2 linked regions of the Arabidopsis thaliana genome follow. The protein of the gene in region 2 interacts with the protein of the main gene of each other region in a pairwise test. Each region holds a gene or a part of one and is shown on either strand. Other genes may lie near its edges.

Region 1 (4,240 bases), 4.4 Mb from region 2:
CCCACAAACTTTAAAAGTTCTAGAAAAAGACGAATTCATCTTTGAAGAAAATAAATTCAAAAATTAATCAATCATACTATTAATCATTATAATTATACACTAAACACAACCCTAAAAACACTGAGAAGTACATTAGGCGTAGGCCTAACGGCTATTAGCGCCCAATGTCACATACTTATCGACTTAAACCATTTTCTTTTATTCAATTTTTTTGTTCAGATCTTTATGACCATTGATTCATTACAAGAGACAAAAATGCAACTTACATAGGGAGGATTAGAGGAATAGTGAAAAAAAAAAAAAATTAGAAAACTGATTTCAGTTATTTCAAAATAAAATAAAAATAAAACAAGTTAATTATAATCTATTTGCTGAATTATGTCTCTTCTTGAATCCTCCTTATGGTTTGATTCAAAGCTGTTGCAATGTCGTCCACGGTATTCAGTTGGCTTCCTTCTTCAACCTGAACCAACACATTTTCTCTTAAGAAATAAAGATATACATAACAATTCTTGAAAAAAGTTGCAACAAACAAAATTAGAAGGATGTAGATAACTATAACAAAATATCTTTCTATTTGCTAAATATCTCCTGAAACAAATGGTGGACTCACTTCGTTGTCCGTACATATCTCATCTACAATTATGTGACCACCGAACATATATCCACAGTACATAAACATATACATAAACATATATAAATACACAACACCACGTATACAATTCGTGGATATAGATAGACACATATTCGTGTTTCGTTTCTTTAGGTTGGTCCCCTGATTCTTACAGGCACGATTAAGATACGCAATTTATTATTGACAAAAATAATAATCAAAATGATGATTATGAGTTTGACCCACAACTATTGAGGCCCCAGCCCTAAGTACCCAAAGGAGGTAAGAAAAAAACAAAGAGAATGATTTTAATTTTTCTTCACAACCTTTTTAAAGCCCAGGCATAACCACAATAGTACTAATCCAAAATTTCCCCCCAACAATAAGAGACAAAAAAATAAATCAACAAAGTGAAACCATATGCACCACACACACAGTCATTACTCACTTTAATCTCATGATTACCCCAAAAGCAAACAAAGTAATGATGAGAAGTTGAAAATGTACGTACCCTGACGCTGATGGAGTAGAGAATGGAGTTGTGGAGAGTGGTGACATTGAGATGAAGAAGAGTGAGCCTTAGGCTTTGTAAAGAAGTTATGAGCTTAAGAAGCTGCCTCGGTTTCTTCTTCGTCATTATCTTGATGTTCGCATGGCTTTCTGCCACCGTAACCTCTATCTCCGCCGGTGAAGATGAGCTTTCCGGTACATCTGATGATGACTTTGTAGAATATTGTGGGAAGCTGAAAAAATCTGTGAATGGACCCACTAACGAGCTAGTGCTAGTCTTGTCTCCTTTGGGATCATGAGTCCTAGTTCTCTTCGGCTCCATAGATTGTAAAATATGCTCTAACTCCTTCACGTAGTTTATAGCTCCTCCTACTATCGACGCTTGATCTCCCTTTACCACCAAAACCCGCTCATGTCAGATCATATAGTTATCATAAAGATTGAAAAAATCTTTGAATGTATAAATATACACACACACGTATCATTGCTAATTGCTTAAGTTTATTACGAAATTGTTCTAAAACATATCCCAATATTCTCAATCATACTCGTTCTAATTTTTGGTGACACATAATATTTTATTTTAAAAAATACATTAAAATATGTAACAGCAAAGATTATTAGTATGTATATAAACGCGTCACCCTTCCATATTTACGGTGGATTTTCTTGTTAATATATTGTATAAAAACATCAATATATATTCTCAGTCATTTTCATTCTATTCTTTTGTGTTAATATATTATGGAGAAATGAGTACTACAGCCAAGCAAGTAATAAAACAAAGACACATATACCTAAGAATGACCCTGACCAAATGATATATAGCATATATAAACATTGAATTAGTAAGTTACTCTTTGAGCATACGACGACGGCATTAGAGAACGGAGCACAGCCAGATACTCGTTCATCTGTTTCCGGCGATTTCTCTCGACGGCGATGTGAGTCATTCTCTGGTTCTCGATCTCTTCCTTGTTCTTGCAGTTTCTCGTTCTCCTCCTCTTCCTCCGGTGCTGTGGAGGAGGATGACTCTCCACATCAATGGCGGTAAGACCAAGCTCTTCTCCCAACGAAGGGATCAACAAAGGATACTGATGATAGTCTCGCCATTGATGATCGTCCTCCTTACCTTGTTCCACAAAGCTCTGTTCATGCCCTAACTTATCAATGTTGTTCTTCGTATCTTGAGCTACGAACTCTTCTTGAGAGTATAAGTCGTGGAACATAAAATCTTTGCAATTGGAGAGATATCCGAATGGATCTTGCGGGTATACGACAGCCTCTAAGGGCATTTTTTAGCCGGAGATTGTTGAAAAGAAAAATTCAGAATTATGGAAAAAATAAGAAAGATTGAGAAACCGAGAGAGGGAGAGAGAAGGAGAGAAAACAAAATTTAGACAGGAAGTGTTTGTCGCTCTCCTTTTTGTCTCGAGGGGGAAATAAAGGCAAAAGGGTTAAGCCCACTAAAGGAAACTAAGCATGGTATTAGTTATATGAAGATTTTTTGTAAATTGATTTACAAAATATTAAATTCTCAAGAACTCACCGGCATGGAGGAAGAATAGGAGAGTGAATCTTCAACAAAAATAAATATACAAAAGAAAGATATGAGAGTGAAAACCGAAATATGAGGATCAAACAAAGTGGTGTGATTTATTTAAAAAGGGAATTGAGAGAAGCTTTGTGAGGCTATTAATTTTTTTTTTTTTTTTTTTGATGCTCTCACAGTTGACCAAAAATAAATGCTCCCGCAGAGATCAAAAACGAAAAGAAAAATAAAACTAAAGAAAAGATGTATTTGTCACCAATATATATATAAAAAACACTGAAAAGGAGATATAAAGTGCACTTGTAATAATCATCCCAATTGTATTTAAATAACTTGTTCATAATAATTAGAGGTTAAGAAAATAAAGAAAAAAATTGTTCATAATGTTTTTAATATAAATTAGTTTTATTATATAGTAATTTTATTATTAAGATGTTAATTGTTTGGAACTATTCCTAAAAACCCATAATCTTTCTTAGTTCAAAATCAAATAAATAATAAATAATTTATTAAGAAATGGTAAAGCTGATATAGTGGGCAGTGAATTTATATTGACGTTCGAGTGAAAGAAAACTGGTGCTGGACTGCTGGTGGTGATCATAACCAGTTAAAACCTCTTTCGAGTTTTTCCGAATATGTATAGTGTAAGGATACACAGATGGTGATGGCTAAACTACTTAAAATTCTAAATATAGCAAAAAATTAATAGAAAAAACAATAGTTCGTTAGTACTAATATGTCATGTTGCGGATTACTTTAACCAAAAAAAAAGTTACGGACTACTTTAACAAATTTTTTTGTTGCGGATTAGCGTTTTCGCCAAAAAAAAATTAAGACGTGCAATTCTACGTCAGTCGGACAAGTGAGTGATACAATAAAACGAAAATGTGAAATTTTCAATTGGACCATAAAAATTCTAAAGCATTATATATATACAGTTACATGCTACTTGTAAACAAAGTTATTTGAGTTTCCAGTTAGGACGGTCTACGCCAATTAATTTTTAGTTCTACGCATTCACATCTGGTAACAATTTTTTTGGTTTGAAAATTAAAATTCTACCAGATATTACCTTAGAATATCTATCCAACTTCGTGGAATTAGATCCATTATCTATGGTTACTAATTACTATTTAGATACATAGATGCATATAGATAAATGTATACATTGCAGCGTCAAGTTTGCACGTGAGATAGTAGTAGACCAGTCCACAAGACCAAATAATCTGTTTGCAGGTTGGGGGTCGTCTAGTTACACTCATGTTCTATTATTTTACTTTAAACAAAAATATAATGTATTTCCATATCAAATATATGGTTAAGTATCCGATTAAAATTAAAAATCTTTAAAACAAATGTTTGTCAGAAAATACACAACCAATAGAAGATTTATTTTGGCCGGTGGGGATCACTTTATGTCAGGTTTTAACAAATTTGTTTCGTGATGTTATTAAAAATATATTTAAATCGAGATATTTACTTGCATGTTATAAAATGATGGTCTATTAAAAATCTTTTGTCACTACTTTTCAACATCAAAAACCAAAAAAGTTATGTATATAAAT
Region 2 (5,347 bases):
TTTGTGTTTTCAATATAAATGAAAAAATCTCATGAGGGTTGAATATTTGTTGGTTTTTTGGCAGGCACGTCCAAGGCTAATCGAGGCCATTGAAAAAGGTGACATCAGCGAAGTAGTGGATCCACGGCTAGAGAATGATTACGTCGAAAGTGAAGTCTATAAAATGATTGAAACGGCAGCGTCTTGTGTTAGACATTCCGCTTTAAAACGACCTCGTATGGTTCAGGTCAGAAATAGAAACACTTCTTGACTTGACCTAATAATATACAGCTAGAAAAAGAAACAAACCATCTGATTGATCAAGAGTGTTTCTCTTTTTGCAGGTTGTTAGAGCTCTGGACACGAGAGATGACTTGTCGGATCTGACAAACGGAGTTAAAGTGGGTCAAAGTAGGGTCTACGACTCCGGTCAATACAGTAATGAGATTCGAATTTTCAGACGAGCCTCTGAAGATTCCTCGGATCTTGGTACTAATACTGGCTACTACCCTAGCCAAGACTACGCCACTAGCCATGAATATGAATCTGAGAGCCGAGCCTTCAACACAAGTCACCGGAACCATTGAAACCAATAAATTAAACTCAAGTTGTTGTGTTTTGTTTTTCTTAGTTCTTAGGGACGACGACCCTTTAGAATTATATTTGTGAAAGATCTTAATGAAAACCCAATGACAAACCAGAAGAATGTATAGTTTCAAACATGTAAACTGTCACCTAAAAGCTTGTGAGAAATCATATCTCTAGCAGTAACTTGTGACTGAAGCAAACAAAACATTTGACCTTTTGAGGTTATGTACTCTGTTTTACTGAGTTTTCATATTGAAGTTATCATCATCTTGAGCAGTAAATCTCTCAATATTCCACATGCAATCCCGTCTTTGTTCGCCTAAGAATGAATAAATCCAAAACTGTTTATCAGAATTCAAGAATCTGAGATTACGTGCAGGGGCAATGAGATGTGATTACGTTACTACCTTGACATTGAGAACGGTCATGACTGTGAGATCGAGTCTGGTGAAATTGACGTCAATGATCTCAAGTTCACATAAATCTACAGCTTCTATCAACCTCTTGAATCCATCTTGTTTATGTTCCTGCACAACCCGAATCAAGAAATCTCGCTCACCAGTCTCGTGGACTTCAATTTTCACCTGAAAAGAAACCAGAGTTTGTGGGATTTTACAACTCAGATATAGATTATCTTGAAGGTCTATATATTCGAATAATACCTCGTTTTTCTTCACTCTCTTGTTGCTTTTAGAGGAAACTCTTTCAGCTTCTGGATCAGCTATTGCAGATTGTTCCTCTGCAGCGATTTCTTTGCATTCCATCTCATTGATTCCTTTAAGCTCATCTTCAAGTTTCTGCTTCTCCACTAGCAGTTCATTGATGTAATCAACAGCATCACTGAAAATTCCAATTTTGTTCAACTGCATATAGCACAAAGAAAGATAAATATAATAATCCTATGGAAAGTGCTACATTGACCACAAGAAGAGTGATCCAGAAACTGCATTGAGTTTCAGAAGAAACCTTTGTGATTTTAGGGACTACGGCTCTTAGACCATACATGGCCTGATTAATTCTCTCTCTTCTTTTCCTCTCTGAATGAAGGTTCTTTGATTTGAAGTTTTCCGTAGGAAGCAGCTTCTTATTAGCTTTGGAATCGTTGGCATTTTGCACCACAACATCCTTTTCCTTGTTCATTATCAAACACGGTGTTTGTTCCTCCCTGAGAATTTCCACACAACTAGCATTCGGGTAATTGCCGAAAAGATTCTGAGTTTCACTGGAGGGATTGGAAACACTTGATGATCCGCCGCCCTCAACGCTGAGATTCACACCGCTACTCATAGATTCCTCTGCTCGGGGAATGATCCTGAACTGCAGCCTTTGTTCAGGGAATGGTTCAAAGAAGGTGGTACAACGCGACATGATCAAATGCACCATGCTTTCATCAAACGGTCTCTGATACAGACCAACATTTTATGAAGTAACCACCAAAACCAATGACAGACTTTCTATGCGAAATGCTAACATGTTTTTACCATATCGAAAGCGAACAGCTCAACGAGACCATCACTCACAGGAACAAGAACACGAGTGCTGAACATTTCCTGCCAAAACACATGGAGATCAGATTGTTCTTATGATCAAACGAGTAAAAAAGGCTGACGAAAAGAGTCTTTTTTACCATTTTAGATCCTGAATTAACCAACCACTTTGGAGATTTTGACATCACTACTTCTCCATGAATCCTGCAATTGAGAAAGAAGCTTCATATTATTCTTGAAGAAAAAATTAACTTGAAAGGGGGTTGAATAGATGGAAACATACCCGGGATAGAGAGGCATGAAGAGAGGAAAACGAGAAAGCGCTTCACAAGCTAAGGTTCTTATACGATGCTTGTTGTGGTCATCTCTACAGAAAGAAGCCTTCTTTTTTCTCCCAGTTCCTCCTTCTTCTGAGTTTTCAAGCTTTATATTCTTATCAATATAACAACCACTGCAGCAGCATCCCACCCATTCAATAAACCTGTAGTTTAAATGGAATTCATACCAATTACGAGATGAAGATCATAAAACCCACAAACTTTTAGTAAAACTAGACAAGACAAAACCAAGAACAGGAGGTAGATGGTAAAGCAAAACAAACCATAAACCATTAAAATCAAAAACCAGATGAGCAAAAAAAAAAAAAAACAGAAACCAGAGAAATTTGATAGAACAGAGCCAGAAGTTACTAAGGACTAATCAAAATCAAAAAAATGGAAACTTTGCTACTGAAACAAAATAGTTTCAGGAAGCCAATAACAGAGCAAAAACAAAAAAAAAAGTCCTAATTCAGAAAGCAAAGATAAAAGACAAACACGAAAAACCCATCAGTATACATAAAAACGGAAGCTTTGCTACTGAAACAAAATAGTAGACAGCTGATGATGATTCACATGAACAACGAACAAATAACAAAGAAAAACCGGAGAGTGTGTTGAACCTAGAAGGATCATCACCGAGTTTCCAGATAACACATAAGTCCCAAGTTCTGGAATCGACAAAGGGTCGAAGAAACTCCTTCACTCTCTCACCACCTCTCATCATCATCATCTCACTCTCTCTCTCTCTCTCTCTCACTCTCTCTCTCTCTCTCTCTCTCTTACTCTCACTCTCTCAATCAACAATAAGAAAAGCCAAACAAGAAGCCTGAGTTTTGGTGATCTCTTTTGGTCTTACTTATAAATTGATGCAAGGAGAGAGGGAGAGAGAGAGAGATATTTGGCATATATATACAAAGCAGTTGCTCTGTCAAAACAAATCATATCGGGAATATACGATCGTACAAGACAATGGTAACCAACTTCACTTTTTGAATTAAAACCCAGAGAGAGAGAAAGAAAGAAGAGTGAATCGTCTGCGAGTCTCTGTACCCAAATCCGTGACAGAGGTGACTGTGACATCTGTAGAGAGAGAAGATAGGGTAAGAAAAAGAGAGGTTTTACTCTTGACTGTACGAAGAAAGCTATCATGTGCTTGAAAACGGCCATAAAGGGATTTGAAGCAAAACAAAGTACTGTATCTGTATGGGTTTTGATAGCAACACTCAACAATATGAAATGAGCTAGCTTTTTTTTTTCTGATAAAACCCATCCTCTGTACTATTTACTTTAACAAGGAAAGAGCTTTGATAGCTTTATTACTTTCAAAAGAAAAGTTTGGACCTTTGGTTCTGTTTTTGGGGTTTGTACTCTTGTTTCATGTGAAGAGAGGTATTTGGAATATGTCTTTACCAAAAAAGAGCTCAAAGATACCTTTTAAATTATTATTACAGCTAATTTATGGCTATTTTGTATCTAATTAATCAATCAAATGAGAAATGAAAAGAATGAAACTTGAATCAGACGAAAACTGTCAAAATGAATAATTTTTTAACAAGTCAAAGCTCAAGTTTAAAATTTTCCCGTCCTTTTTAAAAGCTCAACCATTTTCATCAGTCATCACTGGCAAGTTAAGAGGTATAAAATGGCGAAATATGGTGATAATATTAATGTAGTGTTATATGGAGAAATAGATGCCAATGTATACATTTGTACAGATATATAACAATTGCATACGCCAATACAATGTCTTATGTCTATGGTCATTGTTGTTCTTCCATAATGGAACCAATTGATCCAAATCTAAGGACATGACAATTTATTAACATTGCTAAGCTTAATAGAAGGTACCTTGTGTTCATAACCCGAATCAGACAGCCTTCTCAGACCAAGTATACAGTTCTGGTTAGGGTGGTGGTTATGATGACGGTTATTATTGACATCCTTAGCCCACAGTGGATAAAGTTTGAACCTTTTTACTGATAAGTCCACAGAAGTCGTTACCTTAACGTAGATCAAAAATCTCGAACCTAAGGTTCGAGTTCTTGTAGACGTTTGAGCAATGCTCATAAACTGGGTTCCCATCTTCTGGTTCTTTGTGCGGGTGGAATCCAGTCTCTGAGCAGCCTCTCAGTACCTCCATTCCTCCAGGGTCCGTTAGCTTAAATATCCCGTAACTCCTGCCAAAAAGATCAGTTTGAGAGTCTATCAAGGAAATATGTTGACTGTATAATTGACTCCATAGCTTTGGAAGAACATACTTAGAGCTATCAGTTGGAGCTACGACGATTGCAAAAGCCTCTGGCACCATTACCTAAGAATGACATGATGGGAAACTGAGATCAGAATTGTCTCAAACCTAGTATATATGCAATTTGGAAACAGCAGAGATGTACCTGATACGAATAATGTGTATGCAGATCTACAGATGACATGAAACAACCCTGAGAAGGATGAGTCTGGAAAATATGCATAACCTCGTTATAGTAAGTCAAGACAAAGTAGATAAACAGATCACTAAACATGGAGGGAGCTAGAAGAGAGAGATATACATGAATCCATCCTACGGGATAGAGTTCTCTTTCGTTTTGAATGGAAAACACTTCCACTTCATTCATAGCCTGACACTGCCAATTTTAGCACCTGAGTAAGCACCTCATTTTGAATACCACAAAATGATCGAGATAATCTTTCTAAGATAACTCACAGAATTAGAAGTTGATTCTTGCTTAGGTATTATCAGAGTGGTTACATAAAAAATTCCTCTTTCCTACAGCATGAACAGAAATAGAAATGTAATTACCATCAGGTTCATGAAACTCGAAAAACGAAGAACCCTGGAACAGAAGCAAAACAACCATGAATCATGACCACAAAAGTCAAAACAAGGTGTAAACTTTAAACAATAGCATAGATCGAGTTTCACTAAAAATTCAAATTTGCAAAGATCTCTGTTAGAAGTTGTAATTAGGAACA

The links.
Region 1: the proteins of AT1G10610 (region 2) and AT1G22490 interact in a two-hybrid assay, tested with the Arabidopsis thaliana proteins (one large-scale study listed by BioGRID).

What each region holds. Positions count from the first base shown.
Region 1 is NC_003070.9:7,938,072-7,942,311, forward strand, and holds AT1G22490 (basic helix-loop-helix (bHLH) DNA-binding superfamily protein), read right to left. Parts: upstream 2,555-4,240; 5' UTR 2,419-2,554; coding exon 1,981-2,418; intron 1,515-1,980; coding exon 972-1,514; 3' UTR 526-971; downstream 1-525.
Region 2 is NC_003070.9:3,504,220-3,509,566, reverse strand, and holds AT1G10610 (basic helix-loop-helix (bHLH) DNA-binding superfamily protein), read right to left. Parts: upstream 3,382-5,347; 5' UTR 3,105-3,381; coding exon 2,995-3,104; intron 2,689-2,994; exon of another isoform or gene 2,536-2,688; coding exon 2,338-2,535; intron 2,259-2,337; coding exon 2,195-2,258; intron 2,118-2,194; coding exon 2,049-2,117; intron 1,969-2,048; coding exon 1,534-1,968; intron 1,431-1,533; coding exon 1,230-1,430; intron 1,152-1,229; coding exon 975-1,151; intron 887-974; coding exon 815-886; 3' UTR 567-814; downstream 1-566. Other genes in the region: PERK11 (Protein kinase superfamily protein), read left to right, coding at 65-226, 324-566; AMSH2 (associated molecule with the SH3 domain of STAM 2), read right to left, coding at 4,377-4,551, 4,633-4,685, 4,768-4,830, 4,924-4,998, 5,079-5,141.